4 linked regions of the Lonchura striata genome follow. The protein of the gene in region 1 interacts with the protein of each later gene in a pairwise test. Links are inferred from orthologs where the notes say so. Each region holds a gene or a part of one and is shown on either strand. Other genes may lie near its edges. The genes, in order: RAD54B, PSMA1, SUMO1 and TCEANC.

What was found.
Region 2: the proteins of RAD54B (region 1) and PSMA1 interact in a two-hybrid assay, tested with the Homo sapiens proteins (2 studies listed by BioGRID and IntAct). The two-hybrid records come from large-scale screens. The link is inferred for Lonchura striata from reciprocal best matches to the Homo sapiens genes RAD54B and PSMA1.
Region 3: the proteins of RAD54B (region 1) and SUMO1 interact in a two-hybrid assay, tested with the Homo sapiens proteins (2 studies listed by BioGRID and IntAct). The two-hybrid records come from large-scale screens. The link is inferred for Lonchura striata from reciprocal best matches to the Homo sapiens genes RAD54B and SUMO1.
Region 4: the proteins of RAD54B (region 1) and TCEANC interact in a two-hybrid assay, tested with the Homo sapiens proteins (2 studies listed by BioGRID). The two-hybrid records come from large-scale screens. The link is inferred for Lonchura striata from reciprocal best matches to the Homo sapiens genes RAD54B and TCEANC.

The regions. Positions count from the first base shown.
Region 1 is NC_134603.1:24,218,258-24,226,266, forward strand, and holds the start of RAD54B (DNA repair and recombination protein RAD54B), read left to right. Parts: upstream 1-4,686; 5' UTR 4,687-4,764; intron 4,765-7,707; 5' UTR 7,708-7,723; coding exon 7,724-7,861; intron 7,862-8,009. UniProt on the Homo sapiens protein: Involved in DNA repair and mitotic recombination. May play an active role in recombination processes in concert with other members of the RAD52 epistasis group.
Region 2 is NC_134608.1:50,395,936-50,404,038, forward strand, and holds the start of PSMA1 (proteasome subunit alpha type-1), read left to right. Parts: upstream 1-4,909; 5' UTR 4,910-4,991; coding exon 4,992-4,994; intron 4,995-5,925; coding exon 5,926-5,970; intron 5,971-8,103. UniProt on the Homo sapiens protein: Component of the 20S core proteasome complex involved in the proteolytic degradation of most intracellular proteins. This complex plays numerous essential roles within the cell by associating with different regulatory particles.
Region 3 is NC_134610.1:26,736,954-26,744,195, forward strand, and holds the start of SUMO1 (small ubiquitin-related modifier 1), read left to right. Parts: upstream 1-3,892; 5' UTR 3,893-4,001; coding exon 4,002-4,013; intron 4,014-7,242. Other genes in the region: NOP58 (nucleolar protein 58), read right to left, coding at 20-64. UniProt on the Homo sapiens protein: Ubiquitin-like protein that can be covalently attached to proteins as a monomer or a lysine-linked polymer.
Region 4 is NC_134604.1:99,181,800-99,189,879, reverse strand, and holds the start of TCEANC (transcription elongation factor A N-terminal and central domain-containing protein), read right to left. Parts: upstream 3,330-8,080; 5' UTR 3,307-3,329; coding exon 3,252-3,306; intron 3,222-3,251; exon of another isoform or gene 2,990-3,221; intron 1-2,989.

The sequences.
Region 1 (8,009 bases):
ATCAGTTTTAGGCTGTAAATTGCTCCTTGACATGTAAAGTAACTTCTGTAAACCCAGTGAGACTCATGAAAGAGGTTTTCATTAGTTATGAGGTTTTCTAAATAAAATAGAAGAGGAAGAGATCTTACCTTTGTAGATTTTACTACCTAGATATGTAGTTTGCCCAAATACTTCAGAAAGTTTTCTGATCAGTAAGGCATGTAATGCTTCCTTCAGTTTCTCTTCACTCCTTTATTATGCCTATGAGAAAAATTAGGAAGAGTAAAGCTCAGTAGTGTTTACTAAGTTACTGAGTCTATGTCTAACAAGCCAGCTACTGAATAGATGCTATCCTAACAGCCCATTAAAACCAAGTTTTCCAAAGCAAGCCACTGAAAACCTACAATTCAACACAGGAAAATTGACTAGATTAATGTGAAAATAATCATCAGTCTCTGTTTCAACTACTACTGATGCAGATATTTATCACAAAACTGAACACTCTGCTGATGATCAATTCTGAAGCCAGTTATCTTCTTAAAACTGAAGACAACAGAATCAGTATTACTGAAAAGTAGCAACTGAAATCTGGTAAAATTATATTCCTTAAAAAGATGGAAGTTCCTTATCTACCTGTTTTTATCCAGCCATGACAGGCAGTTCATTTTTAAAACAAAACCATTACAAGTTTGTTGTATTGGCAGATATAATTGCTGTGTAGAATAACTAGGGTTGCTCACTTAAAACATCATAAAAGATGCCATTATTAAACCCCTTAAGTTATGCCAGAGGACTTAAACAGCATATATAGATTAGATAATATGAACTGTAAGTCTAACACTTTGCTTTGGTTTGGTGAATTCCAGAGGATTCTGCTTTTAGAAAACTTTCAAGGACAGATAAGAGAGCAAAACTATGTACTTCTACTGTCCTAGAGTTTCTGTTCTTCTAGAATTGTGGATGCTGTGAGCTACATTTTGCACAAACACTGCTTAGTCCCTGAGGACTAAGTCTTCAAGACACTCTTCAGCACATTTTAGCAAGTTTGAAGACTAATGGAATGCAGGAAAGAGTATTTTTATCAAATGGGGAACAAAAATTTTACTTGTGCTTAACAGAGAAATGAAGTGCAACAGCAGCAATATATATATTATACACATATGTTTCTGTATATAAATATATATAGATGTATACAGCCCTAGCCTAACTGAAGTTCAAATGAAGAGCGGATGGGAACTTTGAGACAAAAAATACAATCAAGGGGGATTCTTCAGGACATTTTGAAGACTCATGTTGGATCAGCAAAACACAGTGCTGGAACCTTTCTGGCAATGGATCTGGGACCTATGACAACAGCTGGTACTGAAGTCCCAGACTTCTGCCAGTAGAAGTTTTCTGACCTGATGAACCAGAGATATTTTCTTATCAATTTCAAGAAATGCACCTTAGTCAAGAGATAAGCAGAGGGAGAGCATCTGATGAATGTCATGCACTTTAGCAGTACAAATCACTTTACCCAGTATCTTTACCACAAAATGAGATAATTTTCAGCTTCTCCTTATCTCCAGAAACTTCCCTCTTCTCCATTTGACCTCAAAACTTATTTTCCCGATTCTACTACAATTCACCAATTGTCACACTCTTTTTGATTGCACCTAGAAATTACATTAGTTTGTTGAGAGATGTCAGTTGCTTGCTTAAGCAAGTAACTTCTAAATAGATTAAGTCACTTAGAATTACAATACTCTGTTGATGTAGAATGCTGTTTGCTTATATCTACTTGCTTAGCACGTGTAGCTTGGGTTGCTGGAAGCCTTAGGCTGAAAGCTAAGGAATTTTACCTAGACATGCTTTTGGCTGGAACTGAGTTAATTTCCTTAGCAATTTTCCCAGTAGCTGCTACAGTGCTTCGCTTTGCCTTTAGAATGAAAAGAATGCTGCCAACACACCAATGTTTTAGTTGTTGCTAAGTAATGTTTATCCTAAAGTCTAGGACTTTAATTTAGTTTCCCATGCTCTACCGGGGAGCAGGTGCACAAGTAGCACAAACCAAAAGATAAGGAGCTGATGGTCATCAGCAGAAACTGCAACTCAGTAACAGTTAATAACATGGACATGGAGAGAGAATCCAATAAGCTGTTTAGAAGAGCCCAGACCAAAAATCACCACTGGACTAAAAGGGCTGTGTGAAGAGCATGTAGGGGAGGGTACATAAATTGTAAGGGTATCATTGTGCAGGGATTTCTTTGTTTGTGAGAGAAAGCACACAAACTGTGACATGCTATTTGCTCTTTATTGTTTCATGAGTTTTATTTTCCCCTGCAGTTCTGGACAAGTAAAAATCCCCTCCAGAATTCACAGGTATCAAGCAATTTTTCAACAGTTGTCATCCCACATTGTTTGTCAGCAGATGCACATCCAAAACCAGCCCTGAGCTGTGGACTTCACTGCCCTCTAACAGAGATTTGGTGAGGATATAGTAACAGGGAGAATACAGATGGGATGTAGTTCCCAACAACATCATCACATAGCTTGCCAAATGCCTGGCACTAATCAAAGCTATTCCACTGTGAAAGTCAGGACACCAAAATGAAATTAGTGACCTTCACTTTTGCATCTGCAGTAGCTTCTGCATTTTAAAAAATGCTTCTTTTTCATGTGACAAAACAAAGCATAACTGTTTGAAAGGCTGGAGTGAACCACAACAGAACTACAAATGTGCATGGCTAAGAAAGCATTTTCAGAAATGCTAGAGGAACAGTCTATGCAGGATCCAGGGATGAGGTGGCACTGAGACATGACATTCCTTCAGCTTTTATTTTCAGAAATCCTGCTATACAGAAGCAATATTTTAGTGTTTTTTGCCACTCTAACACTGTAAGCCACTTCAAGCCAGCATCAATGCCCAAAGGGGCAGACTCACCCCTTCAACTGTGACTGTACAAGTGGTTTCTCAGGCACTTGATGCATCACTCTGAGTAACTGACCTGTTTTAAGACTGAATTGGGGGAAAAAAAATAACTTTGGCAGTTTTATTACGATAGCTCAAACCTATGTATCCACAAATTAATATGCTCCCCACCTCCTCCTCTGAATCAGTGAGAACAGTCAATGTGCTCTGTTCCTGAACTGGCTCATGCAACTCACCATATAGACAACCATACCCTGATTTAATTTCTTGTAGATGGCTCAGCAAAAGCTCTAGGGACTGCATAAGCAGGGCATGACCAGGGATAAGAAACTGCAGCCAGGGCAGAAAGGGAAGCAAGGCAGACAGCAGCAGTCTGTGGTCAGTGATGCTGAGAGATGCTACTCCCTCAGCTCAGCTCTCTAGAGCGGTACATTGGGGAGCTGGATGAACATTCATGTAAAAGGAAGAGAGGAGGGTAAGAATAAATGAACAGCAAGAGCACCTTACACTGATGCAAAAACCTGATTTTTTTTTTTTAATATAAAAAATACGAGGCAATTTAAGGCCTCTTCCAGGAACCACGTAACCACTATAGCTATTTTGACAAAGAACATTTTTGTACAACACTTGTCCTGCAAAACCTAGTCAGAACAGAGCCATCCATGACCTGCCTTGCACAGACCAGAGTCCAGAGAAGGGCAATGGAGTTGGTGAAAGATCTGGAGCACAAGTCCTGTGAGAAGGGGCTGAGGGAGCTGGGGTTGTTTAGCCTGCATAAAAAGGCTCAGAGCTTTCGGTCCACCTGAAAGGAGACTGCAGCCAGGTGAGGGCTGGTCTCTACTCCCGGGCAATAAGTGACAGGATGAGAGGCCACTGACACAGGCTGTGCTGGGGGTTGTGTTTCAGCTTGGACAGCAGAAGAATTTCTTCACAGAAAGGGTGGCCAGCCACTGGAATGGGATTGATTATCTCAGAGGTCTTTTCCAACCTAATTAATTCTGTGAGCACCTCAGCCCTCCCTACAAGCACCTTCGAGCACAAGGTGCAGGGCTGGGCTCTGACACCCCGAGCCAAGCCCAGGGTCAGACCTCGGAGCTGTGCGAGGGGGAATTGTGTACAAGGAACAGAGGAAAGGCCACCGGATTCGGCCTGGGAAGGCGCTTCAGGGACGGACAACGATCCTGATCCCAGGGCACAGAGCTGGCCCAGAAAAATCTGGAGAAGCAACCCGACACCAAGGAACAGCACCTGCGCTGGCTCAGGCAGCGACAAACACCCTCACAGCTGCACGCACCCTCACAGCTGCACGCACCCTCACAGCTGCACGCACCCTCACAGCTGCACGCACCCTCACAGCTGCCTTCCCCACGCGGCGGCGCTGCTGCCGCCGGCCCGGCACCGGGCCCCAACAACGCTGAGCACAAAGCCGCCCGCCCCGGGCCCGGGCCCAGCCCCGCTGCCCCCACCCGTCCCGCCCGGGCCCCGTCTCGCCCCGGCCCCGTCTCGCCCCGTCCCTCCCGGCCCCAGCCCCGCTGCCCCCGCCCGGGCCCCGCTGCCCCCTGCTCGGGCCCCGCTGCCCCCTCCCCGGTGCCCCCGCCGCCTCCGCCCGGCCCCGGCCCCGCTCGCTCACCCGCCCGCCGCCGCTCGCTGTCGCACAGCCGAGCTTCCCTTTACGGCCGCTCTCGCTTGACGGCGGCGCGACGCAGCCGCTCCGCCATGCTGTGCGCGGCAGAGGCCGCGGACCGGCACTCCGCATGCGCGGGCAGCGCCTCCCGGGGGCGGGAAGGGAAGGCTGGCGGGGCGCAGGCGCGGTGCGGCCGCAGGGCTGCCGGGAGCGCGCGGCGGGACAATTGAGCGCGGAGGCGGGAGCGCAGGTACGGCAGCCGCGGGCCCTGCTGGAAGCGACCCCGGGACAGACCCTACCAATGGCATCGCTTCACCCCCCTGCCGTGGGCAGGGACATCTCTCACTAGATCAGGTTGCTCAGAGCTTCGTTCATCCTGGTCTTGAGCGAGGGGGCATTCACAAGTTCTCTGGGCAGCCTGTTCCAGTGCCTCACCGTCGTCAGAGTGAGGAATTTCTGCCTTACATATAATCTATCCCCGCTACCTCAGATTGAAGCCACCCACCCTTGTCCTACTGCTACATGGCTCTTGTAAAAATTCCTTACAGCTATTTCTGGTTTGAAGCGATTTTTCAGTAATGCTGATGTTCTAGGCGATGCGCTTGCTGCCTGCAGTTTAAGGTGATGCTGTGTCACGTCTCCGCAGTTGCCCACAGCCCCTGTTCTGCCTCTGCATCTGTGCCGGCAGTGCCTGTTCAAACACTCCGGGAGCAGCTGCTCGAGTTTGGGCCGGGGTGGGCATTGTGGCTGCCTTTAGCAGAGCTCCGTGCGCACCGTGTTGAGCTGCATGTGTAAAATCTCGAAACGTTCTTTGTATGCATATTTAATTTTCAATGCAGCTACTAATGTACCCTTAAGGGAGAAAGTACAACCGAATTCAATGCCTGACAAACTGTGAGACGGTTTGGGCTGTGGTTTCGTGGTGCGCTGGGTTTGGTCAGGCACGGTTGCTAATAAAAGCCGGAGCAGTGCTTTTTGCATTGCTCGCAGCTGTTTCCCTGCAGCCAGACCTAGCAGTAAGGCAAGGGCATGGTTCCCGGTGTACCGGTGCTGTCTCTCAGGAAAGGGCATATTTGCATATTCTTTCATTTAGTTGTAGTCCGGAGCTGTTCCTTGCCATGCTTCACTCACTCTGATCTTATCTGAAGGACCTGGCATCAGTGGTTTGTTGTATGTCCCTGATGTTCTATTCCTATTAGGTAGTACTGTAAAGTTAGTAGTGTAAAGTAAATTGTAAGCGTTTTGGTTATTTTTTTAACATATTAAAAATTCATTATATTTTATGAAAACTTGTATTTTAAAAAACAAAGATGTAATTCTGGCTGCCATATTTAATTTTAAAACCCACAAACCTGTAACAGTCTTTTTACTTACACGTAGGTAATACGGTAACAGTGAAGTTACTGAGTTATCAAAGATAGTGTCTTCAAATGTCTTAGTAATTTTCAGATCTCCTAATGAGTTTGTTTTTATGGTTTTAGACTAAGTGATAGTGCAATGGCCAAATAGATTTGGGAAACAAAGCACTTTAGTCATGGATATGTGCAATTTATGAATTATACAGCTTCTCTGTCCCACAGAACCTCAAGTGCAGTGGGCAGGGTTAATGTAGCACTGCAGCCATGCTATGCACAGTCCTCCTGCAGAATCCTGGGGTGTCCTGTAATGTCTTCCCAAGCATCACTGTGTAGTGTCGGGTTGGGAAGAGAACTTGTTCAGATTCCCATGGCACCTGAAGCTGGCTGTGGTGAGCACTGGTACTTGCAGTCTGCTCCCCCTGAATATTCTTGACACTTTTGCAGTGTTCACAGTGGCTTTTCATGCTACAGATCTTCCTGTTATAATAACCATGCTACTCCCTTATTGCATAGGGTTAACTAAAACTCATTTGCTGTCACTGTTGTCAGGTAAGCCTAACTTAAGTGAACTGCTGCATACACAGAGGCTTCTTTCCTTGTATTTTTAATAACAGCCACAGTGGAAGTGACAACAGTTGAGGCCATTTTGCCCCTGCGATTTATGTCTAGTAACAGCATCATATATATGCTAGTTGTGCAGATATGGGGAGAGAGTAGTACTCCTGCTACCAGTCTCTGCATGTTTGAAAAGTGTTTTGGCAGTGCTCTGTCACTACTTCAGTGCAAACCTTGGAAATAATGGTGGTTGTGCCCCAGGAAGCCACTGGAGTGCAGAGTAGCGCCAAAAAAGGTGCAGAAACACACTTGCAGCAGAATGCAAACATGCTTTTGAGATGTTACAGAAGTTTGATTCTGCAATCTGTATTGCAGTTTATTTTTAATCCAGTTGTTGGTGCAATCATTTAAAATAAACGTGTAAACAGAGAATTAAACCTGTAACTGCAGTGCAAGTTGTGCTTGCCTTCTTCATTTTGGCTGCTGTGTCATTCTATTGGCATTTTCTTCTTTTGTTTGATTTCTGTCTACTTCTTTGAAGCATTAAGATTATAACTTGTTTTTCTATTGGTTGCAAAAGTAAACTTTGTCATATTAACATTGGTATATGTCTGGTTTTGCCCTAAGATTTTTCTGGGGAATAATGGTCTTATATTTTGAGGGAAAACCTATAATACATTCCTTCCACTGTTCAAGTGGACATAACATGAAGCAATAATATTCACTGTAATTCAGTGATAATTTTCTGCTGAATATTAATCTTATTATGGTGAACCTGAATGACCAATGTAATTGACTGTTTAATGCAAAATGCTGGTCCCAGATATGAGACATACCTTCAAGATTCATTGTTCATTGTGCACTAATAATGGGCTTTTCAAAATTATAGAAGAGTGTATAGAATAGTAAGTTTTGCTTAAAATTGTCTTTCTTTTAATAAAACTGCTGTAAGTTTGCTAAGTAGCCCTATACTGTGTATCTCCAGAGCATTTATTGCTGTTGGGAACTCCATTATTGTCTTTTTAAATTAAAATCGAGGTGTTCAGCTGCAGAATTTGCTGTAGTTGATCTTTCTTAGTACTTAAACACAGCATTGCAACAATACTACCTTTTCTTAAATGTTACTATGCTTGTGAATTAATATTGTTATTTTAAGATCTTGTATGCTCTTTTATATTTTGAAATAGTGCTTTTGTTGTCACCTATGGATATATTTTTATATTTAAAGCCTATTCTGACTACAATTGTCTTTATCTGCTTCCTTCTTGTCCACTCTGCAGAGCAGTACAGCTGAATATGAGGCGATCTGCAGCTCCCAGTCAAGTCCTAGGAAATGCTGGCAAAAAGCCAAGGTTTATACCACCAGGAAAATGTACTGCTGTTTGTCTCAAGAATGAAACTAAGGAGATGGACCAAGAAATTAAGTCGAAGGAGGTAAACTGAACAGTGTACTAAAAGTATTTTGTACAGTATTGTTATTAAAAGATAACATCTGAGCTCACTACAAACAATCTCTGTTTAAATAATCTATTCAGAACAAATTTTGACAGCTTTGCTGTAAGTACCTTTGACCTTGCTTCTC
Region 2 (8,103 bases), on another chromosome or scaffold:
CTGGCTGATGACAGCTCGATTTTTAAGACTAAAGCATACTCAAACATCTATTTTTCCTGCATATTAATTCTCTATTGATGTCTTTCCTAATCAAAAAATTGAATCCACAGTAAGAATAGGCTGAGTCACTTTTTAAAAGATGTGGTCTAGAAATACCAGGACCATTGCCTAAACAGTAAATATTACAATGTTTATCTCTCTCACAGAACTTGAAAATGCCTGTAAAGAGAAGTGTCACATAAATCCTTAATGCTTTGCCATGGACAGTACGTCATTCCTAGGGCCTTTCCTCTCTCTCTCTTTTTTTCTTTTTTTTTTTTTTCTTTTTTTTTTTTTTTTTTTTTTAATATCCTCCAGAAAATTTGTTTCTGTATGCAAGTGGTTTTCCATTTCTCAAGCAGAAATTTTTGGCACCAGCAGATGCGGCAAAAATATTGTGAACATTTTATTGTGTGATCTACATATAAGGACTCACTGTAAAATATTTATGGCATATAAATGCATAAGTAAGCAGGTAATACTTTGTCTAGTCATTAATTTAATATGACAACGTTAGTGGCAAGGAAATGGGATCCATTAGTGGTCTCATGGCTTCATTTCTGTGCCACGCTGTTATTTCCTATCTGTGATGATTCTTTCATAGGGAGAAATTTTGAACCTAAGATAGTATTTATTTGTGAATCTGTTCACCATTCTCCCTCAAAATCTTATATATCCACTGCTGAAGGTTTGATGATATTTTGGTTTTGATTCAGGAATGCTCAAAAATAGTTCCAACAATATGAATCAACAGAGCAGTTCATGTATTTGAAAGAGCTTATGCAGCTATATGCCCACTGAAATGGATCTTTTATCCACAGAAAATTTGTAACTGCCATTCTTTTTCATTTAAATGAAAAGCTGAGCAGATTTTCTGGTAACTGCAACAATATCTTTCATAATTATCCATAAATTATGATAATAATTCTTCAGTTGTATTTTGATGACTCAAACAATTCTACATATGCTGTTTAAAGCATAACTTCTAGGCTAGCAAGCAATTTATAGCTCAAAGTACATTTTTCTTGTACAATAAAAGCATATTATACAGAAACTCTTCCTCACTCAGAGTGAAGAAATAAAATTCAGGTCCAAGAAATAGCAATAATATCCATCTAAATGTAAATATATTGTTGGTCCAGTCAAACAAGAACCTACAAATAAAAGCTATTTCCATGACCAGGATATGCTACAACAGCTCTGCTGTGTTGAACCTTGTGCCCTTGTTTATTCCAGAACTGGACAGAATGAGCCAGACTCTTCCCTGCAGCTCTCTTTCACAGGGATTATTTAAACCTGCTTTCAGCATTGCCTGCTCTTTCCTAGCCAGCTTTGATGATCAAGCAAGGCTGGTTGCCCTGCAGGCCTGTCCTGAAAAGGTCAACTGATGTCAGTCTACAAAAGCTATGGATTAAAAAAAGTAAGGAGTGGGCTTTAAAATGCCTGTAGTTGATACCTCAATTGGTCAGTAGTTTAAAAATGGAAAAAATGCCTTTGGCAACATGAATGCAAGTTTGTCTTAGAGACTGAAATGTCTGCACCTCTACTAATGTGGCAGCAAAAGAATAGGAAAGAAATTTGGTATAATTTACATAGAGAGGTTATTTTTTCCTATTTACAGTATTAATACAAAGCAATATATTTTTTTCTTTGTAAGAACTTCCAAGATCATCTTTAAATGATTCTAAAGACAAATATGTACACTTATATTTGCTGTCAAATTTTTATTTTTAGTCTTAACCTACTTGATGAAAATGTCATCAAATACTACATATGTCATACACCAAGGCTTCTAATTAATTAATTGAGTAGTCTTGTCACCATATATCTATTAATGAAGCAAATCTCTTACCTGTATTAAATCCAAATATGGATTGTTCACATTGTCAAGGCTGTAAGACAGTTCTCAAAATAACTTAGTCAAAATGCTCAGTCCTGAGCGCATTATGACAGCACTGCTATTTGTGGGCAACCACTTGTCCATCTGACAGGAGTGGCTCTGTGATCTCTCTGGGATCTATTCTTCCCCTTCTCCAAGGGGATGGAGGCACTGCCTTCATTCAGTCTGCCTCTTACTCTGGCACAGCAGTTTTCTTCTCCTCCTTTGGCAGTGCTGTGCCCAAGCAGCACAACGTGCAGCCCCTGGGAGTGCTCCCAGAGTGTCACCACTGACCTCAGAGGAGCCAATCTTTTGCCAAAATACTCCACCTAAATACAGGAGCATAGCACACAGGGGTTAATGTGGGCTGATGGTGAGTGGTATCCCAAAAAGGGACTTGCAGGAATGTTGTTTCCTCTCGTGAATCAGCAGAAGCAGAGGCATAATGGCCTTGCCTTTCAGTTGCTGTACATTAATCTCTGCAGAGCAATGCCTGTCATCGCTCAGATGTCAGATGCTGTTTATAACTCTGCTGGAAACACAGCATAGAATAAAACAGGCTCATTAGTTTCTCTTGAGACTGTATATGCATGGTTTAGGATAGCTATGCTTTCACTGCTGCTCTTAGCTCAAACATTGCAGCAGCAGCATCGGTGGCTCAGACAGTTGTTTAGTCTGTGAATTTGTCCAGTTGCTCTCTCAGTATGTGACCAAAAGACCATGATGTGTTCAGGTGCAGAGGTTTCCACAGTATAGGTATGACAAGACCCAGAAGTGCCCCCTGGGCTTGGCTTGAGCCTGCTGCTTTTAAAGACACCCCGCACCAGAACTGCAGGACGGAGAGAAGTGTTGAATCTATTCAGCATCTCTGTGCCAGCTGTGATTTGGAAAGAGTTCAAAGCCTTTCCTTCTTTATCTGCTATTTACACTGAGGACTTCTACTCCTTACTGGCATCCTTTACATGAAGCTATTCCATAATTTGAATCCTTCTTTTTACTTTTCCCAGTGCCACATCATTTCAAGGTAGGAAACAAGAGTCATGGCCAATGTTCAACGGTGTCAGATGCAGTATGGATTTACACAGTGGCACAGCAATGCTTTATGTTTTGTTCTCCGTCCTAATCATTCCTTACATTTAATTTGGACACTACTGGGCACTGAACTTGTTTTCATACAGCTATCAATTGTGTATTCATTGCTCTGAAGTCATCCTGGTTATCAGGTTACCAAATGTGAAACTAAAAAGGAGAAAATATTATTTTCTCCTTAGATTTTTTAATAAGTAGTTCATTTAAATGTGAGGATAGTTTTAGCTTTACTTTTCAGTCCTGTACTCTTTTATATTGTGATGTCTCAATGTAATATACTGATTGCTTTTTCACTCTGCAATTAGATTTCTAATATATGCAAAACACTTCCTTTCTGGTGTGATGCCTTTGTTATCTGAGCAACAGCCATTTGATTTTTGCCTTGTTGATTTTGCCTTTCTCGCCTTCTGAATCGACACCTTACACCCTCAGTTCAAATACTTCAACGAGGAATAGGCTGGGCCCTCTTTAATGCCAGCACATTGAGGTGAAATCATTGAGGTGAAATCACCTCCAACCCTCTGGCTTTAACCCTGCCTGTAGAGCTCTCGTCCTGAGCCTAAGGGACAAGAAGGAGCATCCAGAAGGAAGTGAATGACTTCCTCCCACGGTAAGCGTTTCCCGTTCCAGAGATTATTCCTGTCTCCGGCATCCCCTTGCGCTGCTGCCCTGGGAACGCGGAGCCGTTGTGCCGCCTGCAGGATCCCCGTCCCCTGCCCCCTTCCTGCTGCCACGGGACCCCAGCCCCGCCGCTTCAGAATAAATTGTTAATAGCTGGACATCTGGTGGCTCCGGGTTTGGCTTTATCTTGTTCTATCCATCTAATAAAGGGGGAAGGATTACTCCGGAAAATACTTCGGTTGTTATTTAATAAACCTGCGACAGCTCATACAGCTCCCAAAAGTTCTTCATTTCTGCAGCTATTACCAAAATTCTCCACGAAGTTAAGTTTTACAATCCTGCCTTTTGATCGCTAAAACCGCGGCTGCTGACATTCCTGGCCGTACAAACACTGAACAATGGGGAGTCTTGGCGTGGTTCAGCCTTCTATCCAAATTAATGCGGTTTTGCCAAAACGAGGGGAAACGTCTGCGTGTCGCTCTGCTCCCGTGGCCGGGGTGGATGGAGCTCTGGGGAGTCCGGAGTTCCAATATAATAATATAATATAAAATAAAATAAAATAAAATAAAATAAAATAAAATAATATAATATAATATAATATAATATAATATAATATAATATAATATAATATAATATAATATAATATAATATAATAATATAATATAATATAATACATAACATAACAAACATTAGAATAGAATAGAATAGAATAGAATAGAATAGAATAGAATAGAATAGAATAGAATAGAATAGAATAGGAGTCCCCTGTTGCCGTAGGAAGTTACTGGGGAGTCCGGAGTATAGTATAGTATAGTATAGTATAGTATAGTATAGTATAGTATAGTATAGTATAGTATAGCATAGCATAGCATAGCAAAGCATAGCATAGCATAGCATAGCATAGCATAGTATAATAATATGAGTCCCCTGTTGCCGTAGGAAGTTTTTGGGCAGCGGCACCAGGGAGAGGCTTCGGGAATATTTTACTGCAACCTCCTGAAGCTCATCAGCTTGCTTCATAAAATGCTTACACATCCTGTTCCCACACAAAAACGGTGAGGAAAGGAAGTAGTTTCCGAACCAAACAAACTTTTTTATTTATTATTATTATTATTATTAATCAGAAAGCTTAAAAATAACAAAACAATTTCGGCAATTAAAACCGGCCCCCAAGGAACCGCCTCGCTCAGGGCGGCGCGCAGGCGCGGCCCATCGATGAGTCGGGGCGCGGCCCATCGATGAGTCGGGGCGCGGCCCATCGCTGAGTCGGGGCGCGGCTGGCGCTGCCTGCCCGCCGCCCGCCCGCAGCGCTCCGCTCGCCGCCCGCCGCCGGGAGCCGCCGGGAGCCGCCGGGAGCCGCACCATGGTGAGGGCCGCGGGCCGGGCCGGGCACACAGCCCGGCACAGGGAGCCCCGCCGCTGCCCGGCCTGCCCGGCCCGCGCGGGGCAGCCGGCAGAGCGGGCGGCGGGGAGCGGGCCCGTGAGTAAGCAGTTCCCGGGCCGCGCGGCGCCGCGGGCGGGACTGGGCCTCGCTGCCGGCGGGAGCGGGCCCTGCTTGGGCCCCGGGGCACAGACCTCCGAGCCCCGTGAGGATGCGTGCGGATATCTCCCCAGGGGTCTGGAGCACCTCTGTTGTGAGGAGGCTGCGGGAGCTGGGCCTGTTCAGTCTGGGAGAGGGGATTCATTAATGCCTACAAATATTTCATAGGCGGGCGAAGAGGACTGTGCCAGACCTTTTTCAGTGGGGCCCAGTGACAGGATAAGGAGCAGTGGCCATAAACTGAAACAAAAGAAGTTTCACCTCAACATAAGGAAAAGCTTCTTTACGCTGATACAGAGCACTGGGAGTGCTGCCCAGGGGGGCCATGGAGTCTCCATCTCTGGAGACATTCAAACCCACCTGGATGAGCTCCTGTGTCACTGCTCCTGTGACCCTGCCTTGGTAGGGTTGGCCTGGATGATTTCTAGAGTCCCTTCCACCTCACAGTTCGACAAAAGGAATTTAACAAAGTAAGAATTTGTTTACAGAAAGGGCTGTTGTTGGAATGGGCTGCCCAAGGAAGGTGGTGGAGGCACCATCCCTGAAGGTTTAGGGAAGCTGGATGTGGCACTCAGGGCCATAGCCTAGTTAACAACTGGGTCGTGTTCAGTCACAGATTGGACTCGATGTATCAGAGATGTTTCCAATGTTATTGATTGTGTAGTGCTGGGATTCTGTGAAAACAACCAGGGTTTCCTCCAGGAGCACTCTCTTAGCTTATTAGGGATACTAATGAGTTTTATTTTGTTCATTCCAGTTTCGCAACCAGTATGACAATGATGTCACGGTTTGGAGCCCGCAGGTAAAACCTTTATACACTTGCTCACTGGGGTTTTAACTTGCTTTTTGGGTTTTCTCCACCTCACAGCAGTGGTATTACAGTCACAAAGGTTGTGCTCAGGTACCTGAAGCTTCCTACAGGCTGCTCCCCTCTCCCTTTGTAGGCTGTAGGTGACCAAGAAAGCCCTCAGCACACCCCTGTCTGCTGATGTATGAACCTAAGTGCTGCTTACCTGGGCCTTGTCCCCTCCAGGTGCTTAAGGCAGTTGCTTTCTAAATGTACCTGTGAGGTGCAAAAGAGATGGTGTCATCTTCGGGTGGTTGGACAAGATGATCTTGTAAAGATCCCTTCCAACCCAAACCATTCCATGACTCTGTGATCCATTCACAGAGCTATAATAAGTTGGTAGGTAAGGTACACAAAGCATGGAACAGTTGCAATCTCCCCAAAGTTAGGCCATTACTGGGTCTTTCTCTATTTTGTCCGCTAGATAATTGGGATGTTCAAGTGAGATTTACATTTGAGTTTGAAATTTTACTACTTATGAATCAGTTTCACACTGTTTTTTGTTACTGAAAATATACATTGTGTGTTCTTAAACTTACACAGGCTGTGTTGAAAGTAAATATTTTGGAATTTTAAAAGGCACTGTCAGCTGAGGTGTTTAATATTGCCTCTTCTCTCACTATGGATATTTTAAGACAGGATACTTACAGAAAACCAGAGCCTTGGAAAAAGACTCGTTTATGTATTCAGGAAAACTGGAGGTTTATTTAAAATGCAAGTAGCAAATTGTATTAATATAAAGCTAATGTATCATTAGTTTGTGGGTTTGTATTGCTACTGAAATTATTCATCATGTAGCACTATTGCATGTGAGATTCATTTTCTGTACAGTGCAACAGAGAGTGTTCTCTCCTTTCCATTCTCCGTGAAGACAGCCTTGAATATTTCCCTTTTTTTCACTCAATGCCATGATAGGTGTAGGTGCCTTTGAAGGTGTTGATGCCTTTGAGCTGTTTTCAGTCTTCTTAATGGTTGTGTTTCTCTGGCAGGTTCTGTATCACAAACTTTTTTTGTTTTATCTGTTACTTTAAAAGTTACTTTTAAAATGATAACATTCACTTGAGATTTTTAGCAGATACTGCAAAATATCAGCAACACAAATTTCTCTGTTTTTTTAAGTTGCCTTGAAAATATTAATAGTGTTGGGTTTGTTCTGAAAAAAAGACATTTTAAATTGCTGCTGTGATGCAACTGCTACTCTATCCATTCTTGCAGGTGAGGCAGTCATGTGATGCCATAATAGTTTTTGGCACTGTTAATGCAAGAGCAAATAATACTTTACTGGGAGATGTTTTTGAATATGTTAATAAAGAAAAGGAAATAGGAGATTTAAAAACTCAAAGTGGTTTCTCATTTTTACAGTCTTGCATGTCATTCCTGACAGCTGACAAATTCATGTTGGACAGGTCACAGCAATTCAGTGCTGCTCTTGGGCAGGAAATATCTTATGTTACTGAAATTCCAGTTACAACAGGGGATGAAATTCAACATTAGGGTCTTTCTAGTAGACCTAAAAAAAGAACCTTATGCCAAAAATCCCCAACAACCTATGGGAAGGTGGTATCCTGTAGATCATCCCTTGCACATTCACCATAACAGTTGCTGTGTTCCCCTCCTTGCCAGCTGATGGGATGCAGCTCCATGGTGTCATGCTTGCAGGATAGGAGTGCCTGTATTGGCTGGCTGACATAGGCTGGAGTGCTGAAAATGGGGAAAACCCTCAGTGGTTCTGTTACATGCACACGAAAGCTCCTGACCACCTCTGCAGAACTTGTAGGGACTTCATTTCCTTTGAGACCTCTACTCCTGTTTCAGACTTGACTGCAGTTGGCCAATAACTTGTTCAGAAGTTATTGGGGAATGGCTGGTGAGACACAACAATTGTGTAAGACTCATTTCTTCAGCAAACCAGAAATTTTGCTTTGCATTAAAAGTTAAGTATCCAACTTCAGCTGGAAGTTCCGTCTTTGAATCATGTGCTGATTTAACCTATTGTGCTGTGAGTGTCCCCGTTGGGGTGGGATATCAAAAGTCTGAAAATGCAAAATTGGAAGCTGATTCAGAGGATTAACTAGAGGGTGATTGACA
Region 3 (7,242 bases), on another chromosome or scaffold:
GCGCGGCCCCGCGGCTCACCTTGAAGATGGCGTAGCCGGCGGCGGTCTCGAACAGCACCAGCATGGCTGCGGCGGGCGCCGCGTGCGCCGCCGCCACCGACCGCGCTCAAGCACGCGCGCGCCGCGCGGCGGAACCGGAACGGGAAGCGGCGGCGGCAGCGGAAGCGAGAGCGCGCGGGGAGCGGAAGCGGCGGGTCGCCTTCCGCCCGCCAGCCACGTGGCGGGGCCGCCCCCGCCGCGGGTTCGAGTCTCCTGACGCACAAACACGCGGGAGCTGGGGCGCCGCCGGTGTGCCCTTCTGGCACCTCACCCGAGCTGTCCTCGCTTCCCCGGGTGCCGCAGTTGGCGGCAGGGTCGGCCACCGTTGATAGGAAGCGGGTGTGTTCCCCGGGACGCGAGGGGCCGTGCTAGAGACTTTGTTTCCCGAACGGACCCCGAAGCAGGGGTCAGCGGGTGGTCCTCTCGGCGACCCCGAGCCGCACCGGCCGCGGTGTCGGGGTTCAGCGGCGCTCCCGGCCCTCTGCACGTGGCGGGTTGCGTTCTCTGCCCACTCCGCTCTCGCTCCCGTGGCCTGACCTGCAGCTCATCGCACCGAAAGCATTTCCTTTGCGTAAAGAATTGTTGACACAGTGCGATTGCGAGTATTTAAAAGCTTGGCTTCGCCAACAGACAAGCACCAAATTGCTCGTATAAAACGCGTTTCGAACGCTGCGTGTTTCCCCGCGCTGCTCGGCTCTCCCCGGGGCACGGGCAGCTCCGTCTGCGGGAAGGCACGGCCCGGGGCGCTGGGGCGGCCACTTGAGCCTCCTCCTACTCTGGTGCCACCTCGTGCTTTGTCCTTGGCACAGCCCGGGCGTGCACAGCGCGGCGCCTGGCTGACCTTCTGTGCCGCGGCCCTGCTGGGGAGCCGAGCAGCTGCGTGCCGGTGGGAGGCGGGCGGAAAGCGCCGCTCCTTGCCCTTAGAAATCCCCGCTTATTTCATACGCAGGGTTAGCTGTACTGAAAACAGGCAGAGATTTTCCTGCCCGCAGGTAGAGAGGCTCCAAGAAACGCTTTTGATTTATATCAGACAGTCATTGCTGCGTTTTATGCAACCATCTGTATGAGTCAGCATGCCTTTGTTTCCAGGAGTACGCTGGAAAGTCCACAGTGAGAGAAATCTGTGGACTTTAATATTTCTGAAGATTTTTTTATTCAAAGGAAAGACTTTGGTACTTTACATCACATAACCAATTTTCTTAAAATCCCACAACCAGTAATATTGCCAAAGAAATTAGGTTCAAGGAGGTAGAGAATTTCCAGGTTCTACCTAGTTTTAAAGTACTATTTCTGGCCCTGCTGGCAGAGTACTCTTATTATGTAAGAGCTACTGTTAACTTAGCTGGTTGCCCTAGAATACTACATTCATCCTGTTGGCTAGCACTAACTGCTATCAGGCAAGCAAATTGGTATTATGAGATTACAAATTGTTTATAGGTTAAAGTCTCCTTTTTAAAGAAATCTGTTTCTGATGGACTGAAGCTTTGCACAGACTCTATGTATGTGTGGGCCAATAGCTTTGAGAAAACCTCTTGCAGCTATTGGCTCCTATACAGTAGCTTTGGAGAAATCAGTCAACAGAGGTGAACTTTATTGGCATCAGGTGACTGAGGTTAAGTGCAGGTAGGAAAATAAGAGACATTATAAAACACCTGAGAATTCAGTGAGGTTGTTAGGGCAAGTACTATGGGCAGTGCGTGCAAATGCAAGGCTGGCTTTGGGTTTTGTGGGAAGAAGCTTGTGTAAGTATATTTGGTATTTTTTAAACAGCTTTTGTTACTTTCTCTTTAAGTGAATTCTATGTTGAATTTGAGCCATTGAAAAAGAAAAGTGAGAGCTTTACTGCTGTGCATCCACAGTTTTCACAGTCTTAGTGGAGATTAACTTTGAAGATCCTGTATAAAACTAGCTTGTGTCTTGGAGAGCTGGTGCATCCACAATTGATGGAATAAGAAGGGTGGTGAAAGGTGGTGCTACTGTTAGTGTGTGTGCTGATAAGCACATTCTAACCCTGTATCTTTATGGCTATGCATGTGGATAGATAACTGCACTCTAACTCATATGAGTGTTAGCTTTTATTATGGGATTACTTGAAAAAATTGGGTTTGTGCCAGAGTCTGAGACTTTGGCCTTAGCACAGTAAGGCTCTGTTTTTAAAAACCCATTTAAAATTTATAAAAAGCAGTAATGTTCAGGATAGAATATTTGTCATTTTCCATTTTGCTAGTATTGTGCGTTGTTGTGGAGCCCTTGCATGGCTTATTTTGGTGCTTTGTGTGTATTATTAAGCTCATAATGAGCTCTTACTGTGAGCTTGGCATAGCATGAACATATTTGGCTTTTCTGCTTGGCCTTGTCTAAGAAAGATCATCTTCATTCTCTAGCTCTGTATAGCATTTGTTTTGGTTCTCTTTATTTATTTTTCCCTCCCTTGTTAATTCTGACTTGTTTTAACAGTTGTGATTAGAACTAATTCCCATGAGTCTAGATACTGATTGTTCTGCTGGCTGGCAAAAGTGCACCTCTTGGTGTAGCTCTGTTTGTAGCTTGGCATTCACTGATAAGCAGAAATGCAGGCACAGAGATCAGCTGCTTTGGTGTTTGGTGTTATTACAAGGGAATATGGCACACAGAGCATTGGCCTGTTTATGTTAATGAATGCCTCTTGCTCAGAGCTAATGAATGTACTCTGCACTTTCCCAAAGGTAGATGGTAAAGTTGAAACTCTGTTTAGTAGCATAAGGGTAATAATCTCATTTTTTCAATTGAGCTAGTTTCTGTTGATTCATTAATTTTACATTCATGCTATTTCATGGTTCTCATGTGTGGAGTTTTTTTTCTACTTGCTGGTGGTCACTTAGATCTAAGCATATGCCAGTAGTGATGCCATGCAGGAGTTGCCTGAGCAGTTGTAGAGGGGATGTTAGGACTCCATGCTATAGTCCAAACAGCTTGCAGCCTAAATGTAATCTTTTAGGTAGATGTTATTTCTTGTGCAGACTTCTGAATAGCGATGCTGTGCCAATGTAAAGCAGGGCACCTGTTCTAATGATACATCTTTGCAAATTTATTCAAATGCAAGCCTGGCTGCAGATTTGCTTAATACATGCAGATCCCATTGCTTGCATGGTTGCAAAAAAAACACTGTCTCTAAACAAAAGTGAGTTTTGCTATGGCATATTGTCTTAATAACAACCTCAGCAAGATATTAGAGGTAGGCAGTATGAAAGTGATTTTTGCTCCAAGATCTACTATTGTGGGAAGGGTTATGTGACTTCACATAATTGTCAGGATTGGAAGGGATCTCTGGAGAGCATCGAGTCCAAGCCCTGCCACGCAGGGTCACCTGCAGCAGGTGACACGGGAACATGACCAGGAGGGGTTTGAATATCTCCAGAGAGGCAGACTCCATGACTTCCCTGGGCAGCCTGTTCCAGTGCTCTGCCACCCTCAACCTGAGAAAGCGCTTTCTCAAGGTGAGGTGGAACTCATTATCTTTTAGTTTATGGCCATTACTGTTCGTTCTGTCATTGAGCACCACTGAGAAGCGTCTGGGACCATCCCCTTGGCACCCGCCTTGGAGGTATTTCTGTGCATTCGTGAGATCCCCTCACAATCTCCTCCAGACTGAACAGGCCCAGCTTCCGCAGTCTCTCCTCATGAAGAGAGATGCTCCAGGCCCGTCACCGTAGCTGTGGCAACCCTGGCTCCGGTCGCCAGGGCTGCCCTTAACGTTGGTCGCTTCTTTCGACGGCGACTCTCGCCTCCCCCGCGGCCTCGGCGGGAGCCGGTGCCGCGCGAGGGCCGGGCGGGGCCGCAGGCGGGGCCCGGGAGGGAAATGAGCTCAGGCGCACCGGAAATCCCGCCCGTGCCGCGGCCCTGTGTTTGCGCTGCGGGCAGAGAAAGGAGCGGAGCGCTTGCAGCGGCCCAGCCGAGCCTGCCGCACGACACGGGGCCGAATCATGTCTGACCAGGTACGGGCAGCTGTCCCGGCCGCGGGGGAACGGCGCGGCGGCCCCGGGGGCTCGGGAGGAGCTGCCGCCCCCCGCCCGCACTCTCCGCCGCCGCGGGGCAGCCCTGCCCGGGGCGGGCAGAGTCGCGGTCGCCCGGAGGGCGCCGGGGGGAACGTTCTCCGAGAGGAGTGTGTGTGTGTGTATGGATGGATGCCGATCTCCGACCTCGGCCGATTCGGGCCCCTCTCCGCGTGCATTTTAATCCTTTTCTCTTCTTTCCTCGGGGTGTTTCGCGAGGAGCGCGGTCGGGCTCCAGGCAGGGATACACGGGGGCCGGGGCGGTGTCCGGACGAAGCGAATCGCCGCCGGGACAGCCCCGGCCCTGGAAACCCGGGAATGCGGCGAGGGATAAGCTGTGTTGCACAACTGTTGTTTCCTTTCGTTTTTCGTTTCCCGGGTGTGTGGTAGGATGGTTTTCCCCCGGAGCGGGCTTTGTGAGGGTTAGGCTAGGCTTGCCAGGTACTCCGTTCGCCCGAGGAATGTGAAAGCCTGTTTTTCTCCCCCTCGTTTCTCAGCTGAGCGTTGCTTGCTTGTATTAAACACCCCGTCCTTTATGAAGGCTCTGTCCTGCCTTCGCTCCAAATAATATTCTCGTTATGCCCACATCATTTCTGTTTTCTGAGCCGGGGAGTTGAATAGTTGCTTGTACCGCAAGTTCCTGGGTTGCTCGGCCTGGCATGTATACAGTGCTTTGCCTACAACTATTGCTTTAGGCTATATGTCCTGCTAGTGGAAAGTTAAAACGGCGTTCCGGTTTCAATTTGTGTTCCGTTTTGCTTTATTTTTTTTATATTGTCGTCATAGGGCACTGTTTTCTATCTTTGATTTTTCCCAAAGTGTAGCTATCGTGATAATGTCAGTACCTACATGTGTTTCTTGTAGTGCTGTGAAGTCAAGAATAGTACTGGTGCCAGCCAGGAAATTAAAAGTCCCCAGAGACAAGGCTCAGCTTAGTGCATACCGTGTCTGCTTTGGGGAGTAGCCTTGGTGCAGTAGGAGCCGTGAAAAGAAGCCAGCGCTGTGTGCGCTGGTGGTCTTCCTCCCCGCCCCCGACTTCCCAGCACAATGCGGCTGACAATGGTGCTGCTGCCTCTCTGTGCCTGTGCCTGGGAGAGGGGCAGCTGGGAGCACAGCGATTGCTGCCTCCTAGGACACATCGCCCCTGTAGCAAAATACGTGAAAGTGACTGCATTTAAAAAAAAAAACAAACAAACTCACCAACAATTTCTGAACTAGATTTTATAGACAGATGTTCACGTGACCTGCTCTCTAGTTGTCTGCATATCGGAACCAAGGTATGTTTTAGCAAATAGCAGCTTTCATTACTTAGGCAAATCCTTCCCCAGGCAAGTTCTGCTAAAATACATGCGTATTTTGTCTTTGAGATTGCTTGAAGTATGTAAAATTCCATGTATGTGATAACCTGTTGTGGCTATGTATCTTAAAGGTCTGTGAATAAGGAGCCTGCTGTTTATTTTTAATAGATAAGCAAAACACTGTTAGACGTTGTGTCATTCATTTCTGGAGCACTGTGCAACAAGAGCTAAACAGATGCTTAAGTAGAAGAATAATGTAAGGTTATGCAGCACTGTAAATCTCATTCCTCTGTTTATCAATCTTACAAGAATAACTTGATTACCTAAAATTGTGAATTGCTTAGAGTATTGTTCTTTTTGGCCCTGGAATTAAGTTAAGAGGGGTGTCATTTATCACCCATAAAAGAAGGGTTACTTTATTTTCAGTGGGAAATTGACTTTTATGGTAAATAAAAATACTTGAAAGAAGGGCAGACTTAAAAAAAACCTCATGGTTGCTTGGTGGGATCTAAGCAAAAATGAAACAAAACACAAATTGTTTCCCCCTCCCTTCAAGTGTGTTAGGCTGTTTTTGCATTATTTTAATCTAAATGTTATCTATTAATGTAATCTGTTAATAAAGAATGCTGTAGTTTGTGTGTATGTTTTTCACTCCCTTAAAAAATGTAAGCATTTATTTGCTTTGTTATGAAGCGTGTTCTACATCTATTCCTCTTTTGGTTTTGACAATTTTCCTTTAAAATGCTGAGTATAGTTTGTTTTTTTAAGGTTAGACATTGAAGTTTTATCCCTTCTGAAAATTGGAGGAGGAAACTTGCAATATATTGCAAGTTTGTTTTGTGTATGTTTAGTTTTTGTTAGTTGCAATAGCAGTACCAGTGTGTTTCATCCAAGAAACTTCGTGTGCTTTTTAGGGTCCGTATATAAGTGTGAGACAGTGCACAGAGTCTTACATTGTGCTCTTTAGGAAAACTGCAATGAAGCCTTTAAAACCTTAGGCATCTAATGAAAAGTTAGAAATTGGAGTGCTGTGGTATTTCTGTTCTTTTGTATGGTGGTGTTTTTTATGTCCTGTTTCATGAGGTACTTTAAAGCACCATTCTTTTCACAGGGCAAGAAGTCTGGAGGCTTCCTTGCTAGTTGCTGATCCAGGATTTTGTTAATGGATGCTAGTAGTTGTAACAACTTTGGAATCTCCTTAGTTTCTTTATTTCTAAGTAATTTTGTGTTGCCTTAACCATCTGGCGTTGAATGGCAGTATAGTTCACTGACAAAATGCAGAGAGCATTTTCAGACTTGCTGGGTCTTGTATCCTGGTGTAAAGTATTTTGCTCCTAAATTAAGCTTTGATTATTGGCACTTCTATTATTTGATTTTATATTATTTTTCTTCTCCTGAAACTACAGCTTTTTTTCCTCTTTATTTTGTGAATGAGAGGTTGTGGGGCTTTAAACAAGCATCTTTATGATTTGAAGACTCCAATTCCCTCTGCTTATTCTACTCTTGGGCACTTTCCCTATTTGTTTTTAATACTAGAGCACTCTTTCCTTGAGGGCAGGAGTCAAATATGAATCATAGTTTGATCACTCATATTGGCCAGAGGCACTGTCATAGTAGCAGTGATCATTAGTAATACCTTTTACAGGATGATTTGGTTTGGAAGCCTGAGTAGGTAGATTTGTTACAATGTACAGAACTATATAACTACTACAAATACCTCTATTGCTGGGATAAGATGCTGTCATGCAGTTTGTAAAGTAAATTTAGACAGTGACTGACCTGAAATGTCATGTAAAGGGACAGTGTTCTTACAAATTCTTTCAGTAATAGTGAAATAGCAGCTAGTTTTGAAGCTACAGAGCAGATCAGTTGAG
Region 4 (8,080 bases), on another chromosome or scaffold:
TTATCTGCATAAAAATCCAAGCTTGTTAGAAATACATCTAGCATTTTCCCAACACGTCTCTATCATGAAGAGCAAAACTTAAGCTGAGCCAAGCAGAAAATGGTATTATCAATCTTTTAACATCACCTGCCTCAGTACTGAACTGAAACTTCACTGTATGAAAGTTTTTGGACTTTGTCAAATTACCACTTCATTTCCTAACATTCTTTTTTCTCAACAATAACAGATTTTATAACAAAAAAGAATTGTTGTTACATCTGACAGACAACATGAGCACTATTTTCCCACAGCAAGAGGATATTGTAAACATTCTCCCTCACTCAAGAAACATTCCTGGCAATAGAAACATGTTCTAAGTGGGTTTGTGTAATCATTTATTAAATAACTACTTTTATGCAATATAGTTCAGTCTCCTAACTGTTCATCTGGATGGATGCAAATGTTCATATTCATATTTCCAATCACTTCAGACAGCAAACCAGTCAAAATAATTCAAGAAGGCTGTGATATCTCCAAGTAGAAACCATTTTTTTCAACATCCTTTAACTGTATTGCCTTATACAGGTAACAGTTTCAGTTAATTTTATGTCTTATTGGTGTTTCAACACCACTGGGATTGCATCCCTCTGCTCCCTCTACTCAATCTCTGTGCACAAGAAGCATTCATAACATTGTCCCCCAAAGACTGGGAAATTGTAATTCAAAATTCCTGGTACATTGAGATTGGTTTATACACTATGATGCTCTTAGAAGTAAAAAAATGGGAACTGTCTTCCCATCTTTCCACCTCAGACAGAATGATAGGGAATTTGCACCTTTTTTAAAAAGGAAAGGTTACAGTATTATGCAAAACATGTCTCCAGCAGCCAGTACTTGAAAAAAAACCAGACTTTTACATGTTCTATTATAACTACAAAATTATGTATAAAACAATTGTCTACTACAAAACGACAAAAGACTGAAAATTCTTTCCCTGTTTACCTACAAAGATGTTACCATCCATGCTCATTCTTGGTTTTACAGCTTTCCTCCACTATTTTGTAATTTTATCTTAATTTTTTTTTCATTTATCCAAGAAGAATTAGAACTTTTTAAACCTACAGAAAAGAAGAACATGTTGTGAGCTGCAGGTATAACACTGGCTTTTAAGTGAAAGATCTCATCAAATTTTCTTACGTCTCCATCTGTTTTTCAGTCTGCACAAATATTGTTTATATCCTCTTGCAGATGTACCTATTTGAAACCTGGACAACCTCAATCTAAACAAAGCTTTCCTGGAGTGGATCACATTTCCTGCTTTCACTGAGCTCTGCATTGGCATAGAAGTCCAACAAAACAGACTGTCTTGAAAACAGAAGCCTAAATCAGTAAGTAAAAATGTACTTAAGACATATCCATCTAAAGTACATTTGTTAACTTAATACTTCAGAATGAAAATATGAATCATTTTGGAGAGAAATAAGCAATGCTTTCTTTTGAACACATTTCCTTGACAAAATAGCTTTAAAGATTATTCTTAATCATACACAGCTACCAAGGAATTAAATTCTAGCCCACTACAAGTAAAGGTAAATGCTAAGTTTCCGATGTCTTTTTATGAAAAACTGTACTGACAAATTAATATAAAAATGGAACACGTAAGTAATAAAGACATGCTTTATGAACTTCTGCAAGCTTGTCATCATTTGTCAGATAAACACTGTATTTTCATTGCTTTAACATTCTTTTTTTTAGTTAAGTCTTGGCTCTACACAATTTCTATTTGTCATTCCATTGCCAGGGCCATATTTAGATTAAGTATCACTGTTGTTGTTTTACAGGTTTTCCACTGAAAAATTATAAAACTTTTTTCCTTTAAAAATAAATCCTTTGTGTGCAGGAGAGTGCATATGCTCCTGAAAAGGCCATCCATTCTGAATGGATAAAGAGTATGATTTAAACAAATGGTACTTGTAAAATATTATTAGTGTCTGCTGACATTTCTTATGCTAAAATATGAACACTTAAAAGTGAAAGTACAAAATTTCTTAATACTTTAGAGCCTTGATCAAAGACCCATGATGCACTGGTTTAAGCAAAGGTTGAAATACACTTTAAATGAAATGGATTTTTATCTATTTAACTATTAAAACAATACTACATTTAAAAGCATGGACTCTAGCTCCTTTCTATATTTATACCAACATATATCTTATTTCAAGACATCAATGCTGCATGGAGACCAATATAAAAAATACATAAAGAATTCCCATAATAGCACCATTACAGATATCCATCCTGTAGCTTCCGAGGTCAGCCTCTTCTGTGAGTGGAATTACAGAAGTTACGGCAGCTGGGAGCAGCAGCCCAGTCGTGTGCATTTGGAAGCAGCTCACATTCGCTTGGCGTCGAAGCCAGCCACAGGTGACAGCTTGTCTGGCTGAGATCTGGGGTCAGGCTCATGCCACCAGCGGCTGAGAATCGCTACTGGAGTGTTCATCTCGGTCACCAGGCCATGAAGCTTGGGGGAGATCAGCCTGCAAATCTGCCTGTGCTCGATTCCCACGACACCGGCGTGCCCACACACTCTGTGACCCAGAATGCCAGGGACATGCTAACTCTGTGGGGTTTTCTCCAGATTCTTAATTAAAATTTCACAAGATCGTAGAATTAATTAGGCTGGAAAAGATCTGAGATCATGGAGTCCAACCTGTGATTGAACATCACCTGTCAACCAGACCATGACACTGAGTGCCACGTCCTCAAACGCCTGCAGGAGCGGTGACTCCACCACCTCCCTGGGCAGCCCATTCCAGCACCTAATCGCCGTGGTGAACAAATTCTTTCTAATTATTTCCAACTTAAACCTCCTCTGGCTCCTCATATCCGTTCCTACTACACATCCCCGGACCCGTCTAGCTTAATTCTGACCCACTGCTGTCCTGCTCAGGGGCGAAATACTGTCCCGCACAGCCGGGCCAGGAGGAAAAGCAAGCTCAGCCCTACCTACCAAAGCCCCGCTTCTCTGGGCGCTGCTCCCCGTTCCCCTCGGTCCCCAGGGCCAGCCGGGGCTGGCACGGCGCTGAAGGGCAAACCAGGGCTGCGGAGCAGCCGGCGGCTTGTGCCTCTGAGACTTTCCCCCGACCTCACCGCCAGCGCCAAGGCAAGGGCGGCGGCTCCCCGGACGCTAGTGAGGCGGAGAAGCCGCACTCCCGCTGCCCCCGGCGAAGCACGCCGCGCCGCTCCCGCACGCCGCGCCCCGGCGCCCTCACCTCCGCCGCGCGGCCCGCCATGGCGCCGCCCGCCCGCTCCCCGCTCCGCCGCCATCTCCCCGCGGCTGCGCGCCGCTCCCGCCGCCGCCGGGGCGCGGGCGGACACCGGGCGTGGGGCGGCTCCGCGTGTCTCAGGAAACAGAAACCACGTCTCGTTGTACCAGGAATGGCGTGGCCAGCAGGATTAGGGAAGCGATTCTTTCCCTGTGCTCGGCACCGCTAAGGCCGCCTCGAGTACTGTGCCCACTTGTGGGCGCCTCTCTGCAGGGAGGACACTGAGGTGCTGGAGCGTGTCCAGAGAAGGGCTGGGAGCAGATGTCCTAGGAGAAGCGGCCGAGGGAGCGGAGGTTGTTTAGCCGAGAGAAAAGGAGGCTTAGGGGTGACCTTATCACTGCCTACAACCACCTGACATAAGGCTGTAGCCAGCTGTGGGTCGGCCTCTTCTCCCACGCAGCTAGTGGCAGGATGAGAGGACATAGCGTCAGGCTGTGCCAGGAGAGGTTTAGATTGGACATTAGGAAGAATTCCTTCACAGAAGGAATGATTAGATGCTGTAATGGACTGCCCAAGCAGGTGGCAGAGTCACTGTCCCTGGAGGTGTTTAAGGACGTCTGGACGTGGTGCTCAGTGCCGTGGTCTGGCTGACAGGGCGGTGTTGTGTCAGGGGCTGGACTCGCTGATCTCGGAGCAAGCTGATCAGCACTGATCTCTTTTCCAAGCTAACTGATCCCGTGAATCTGCCGTGGGATGACCGTGGCAGGTGTATTCCCTGTGGGCTCCTGTGCTGTGCCCGTGGCTGCCGCAGGGTGAGAACGCTCCCGAGCGGGCGGCAGCCCTGGAAATAACTCGCTGTCCCAAGCAGCCTCAGGTGTGCGGGCACAGTTTCTTTCCACTGAGGCTGCCGGCTGTTTTGGGCTTGGATCTGGTACTTGGATCTGGCTGTGGGGCGAAAGGGACACCATGATGCTGCCCTGTGGCAGGGCATGACCTTCTTGTGGTATTGGTCTGCGAGCCCCACCATGCTTCTCTCAGCCCTAAAATGAATGAAAAATAAATGACATTCATGTGATTTGAAACTTTCAGTCATTATATGGTCCTTCTCCGGCAAACATGGCTAGGGAAGGCAGTGTGACACACAAGATAAAGGCTAACGGAGAACAACAACAAAAAAGTTGTAAAACTTCCTGTTTTCAATATAGTACTGTGTTGCTTTTGGTATAATCAGCTAAATGGAGCTATTGGTATACACAGAGTTAAAAAAAAATATAAAGTCTCGTAAGGTTACAGCTTTTTGATATGATGAAGTCTGCTGGACATGTCTGATTATGCAGTAAACGTCTAAAAGTAAATGCAGTTTAGTCAAAGGTATTTGTCATTGCCTTTGTTATAATGCTTTCCTCTTTCCCATGTACTTCCTATTTCATGTATTTCACATAGGTGTTCAAAATTATTTTTTAAGAGATTGCTACTTCCAGAATTTTGGCTCTACAGTAAATCTATAAATGATGCTGGGGTTTATACTCCAATACAGTAAAATGTTTGTATGATTTTTTAATACATGTTTTTGGTTTTATTCACTAATGAGGTCTGTGTTGCCCTCTGCTGTCAGTAATCTGATTTTACCTACCTGAAGGCACCAAATATGTTTTGGCAAGAATATCATGTAATGCAGACCTCTTTTTCCTTATTTTGACATAATGAACATCACCATTACTAACCACACAGAGAAAAAAAGCCTTGCATTGTTGTAGAGGATGTAAAAAAAAATAGATAAATTATTGTAGTGAACCAGTTTATCAGTGCTCATCACTGAGTGATCTCAAACCTTCCCTTGAAAGAGCTGAAATGGTTGCATTATACACTGATTGCTAATGCTGTTCAATTCGTCACTCACAGTGTGTTTGTGCCAGACTCATGAATTCACCAGCGATTGAATATGTGATGCAATGAGTAGCTGAATGCCACAGTTGAAATCAGGCTTCCTTTTTGCCTCGTCTTTGTGTCTCACACGGGAAAAAAAAAAAAAAAAAAAAAAAAAAAGAGTGGAACAAAACCTATGCCAAAGAGTTTTATGAAACCAGTGATCAAGAGTTTGAAGTATGACTGTCCAGAAATGACACAGTAACATACTAGCAGAACAGGATCAGAACCTTCCAGGTTCAAATGTGGCATGTCATGCAGGGGCCTGTGTTACATATTTTGAATTATTTCTGTAGCCTACATATGTCAGGAATTCAGCAGCAGCTCTCTTTGCAACATCCAGGAGTTTGCAGTTTCATTTCAGTTTGGGGCTCCAAGGCTTTAAATGCCAGTTTTCTTTAGTCTTTCTGTACCTGTGTGATTATGAGAACAGTACATACCGAATTCCTTATGTCCTCAGCTGAAAGTGCCTACCACAAAGTCACAGAGCTCCCTTGGCAGGAAAGCAAAAAGAGAACATGGCTTTTTCCTTGTGATTAGCCCTCCTTTGAGATGGGATCAAAATTGAGGGTGCCTCTCCTGGAGACTGGTTCCTCACTCAGAGGACAGTTTGGGCATCTCCATTAAATTGTCTTTGATCCAATGAATAAAATTATTCATCATTATTCCAGTTTCCCATTTATAGAACAGATACAATAATACCTTTGAAGTAAAGCAAATTAAAAAAATATTAAAATTATACACTCAGTAAATTCATACATATATGTATACATGTGTAATGATATATGTGTATGTCTTTGTCTCTGTATGGTTTTCCAGGATAATATCAGTGTACCAGTGATAACTTCCTTGAAACTTCAGTATTGGCTGTGATAAGCATCTGCATTTCTAGAAACATAGGCTTCTATTCAAAAGATGGAGATATTCTGGCAGCTGGTAAAATATTGAGTATCCAGAGAACTATTTGGAAAAATATTGGTCCATCATAAGGTTTCTGTAGAGAATAGTATATGCTTCAAATACGCCTCTGTAATTTGTTTGATTTTTTTAAAATTGTTACTTTTAAAGAAAAACCAACAAAACCAAGTACATGGATATAATTTATTCATAATTTTTAATATATTTTTACTTTATTTTTAAAATTGTGTCCTATCTTAATGGCATAATAGGATTTATGACATTAATTTTGTACTCCACCACTGTAATTCTTCCTGAAAAGCTTTCTTCAGTTTAATTTTTTTTTTGTTTAAAGGTTATCTTGTCCATAAGTCTGGATTTGTATTGATTTTAGAGTTCCCAGGAAAAAGACAAAATGTGGAAATGTGATTCTCTTTTTAAAAAGGCTCCCTGCCTTCTACTAGCAAGAGAGGAAAAAAAAACCCAAAAAACATAATATGAACCATGAAGCAAAGCATTATAATTAAATGAAATTAAATCGAGGCCAAAGTTGCCGTGCTCCCGCCCCACAAAGGAATAAACCAATACATAATACAGGGATAATAAAACATACAAATAACGCAACTCCACACAAAGTGTTTTGAACAGTCATCTCCCTCTATCCTTAATGATATGCAGAAGGGAATCCTATATAAATGTCATATTCCTAGACTCTGAAAATCCACGAATTGGGCCGTATTTTATGACAGATTTCATTTTGTGAGAACACTTTCAATCGCAGCATTTGAAATTTGTTGATACATGCAAAGAGTGACTTCTTGGGTGGCTGTTCTTTTCAAGAGTCACTTTCACATTTTCAGGCTCTGATCCAGTTCTGAGAAGGAGGTGGATGAGGCCCTGGATTTCCTTAGGCTGGTGTTGAACTGATGCTGCTTCTGTGTGACAAGATAAAGCCTCCAGCACTGAGCAGTGGATGAGCTTGGCAGTAATGCTGCTCAGCTCTCCTGATATGGCAGCCCATGCTATTTATTTCCACGTCTTGAGATTCCTGTGCATTTTCTGTAACACTGGAGTGTGCTGAATTTAGGATTATGAGGATGATGCACATAAAGTTAACCAGGTAGTGTTGATGAGAGATATATCCCATGTGTTTCCTGTCTCTTCCTCCTGGCATGAGTTCCAGTACATGGGAGGGAATATACCACCTGGAAGACCTGAAATTGAATTGCCAGGAAGATTATGAAGAAATTCTGCCAGAGTCAGCGGAGTGTTATGAAGCCATCTGAGTAATTTGCTTAGTTAAGCACTGAAGAACACTTCATTTGAGGGAAATTGAGATAAGCAGCTCTCTCTGTGTCCCCTTTTCTGCTATGCACAGGCAGTGAACCAGTCTGGTGTTAATGAGTCAAATATGAATTTGTTGTGGCAGGCCTGGGGTTGTTTATATACACACAGTGCTCTTGAAATAGTTACTTCTGAAGGAACCAGCAAGTAGATCAACTACAAAGTGATCCTGTGTTCCACCACTACACATCTTGGTGGACTGCAATGCCAGTACAGGAAATATGAGAAAAATATATTGGATCTTTTTCAGTGCAAGTGAGTTTCCAAAAGAAAATGCAGCCATTCTCAGATCATTTTTTCTTAGAGGTATTAGCTAATTTAGAGCCACTGACTATATCCATGTAAAGAGAATTGATTATTTTTTCTTATTCCATTACTTGTGGTGACCTGCAGTTAATTTTCATATTCCTTTTGCTTGCACAGTCACTCAGTATCACAAGATTCTTTGCAGCCACCTTTCAATTTAACTCTCTTGAACCATAAAGGCAAACATTATTATCTTGCTATTTACACCTTCACATGCATTTTCAATAGTGCATATACTTAAGCCAGCCTACAAAGGGTACTATTTTAAAATCCTGGAAATTTCAAAGAAGACAAAGAAATTTAGGACTCCCATATATTTACATCCTGGGCAGGAAGATGATGCTAATGATTAACTCACTGTA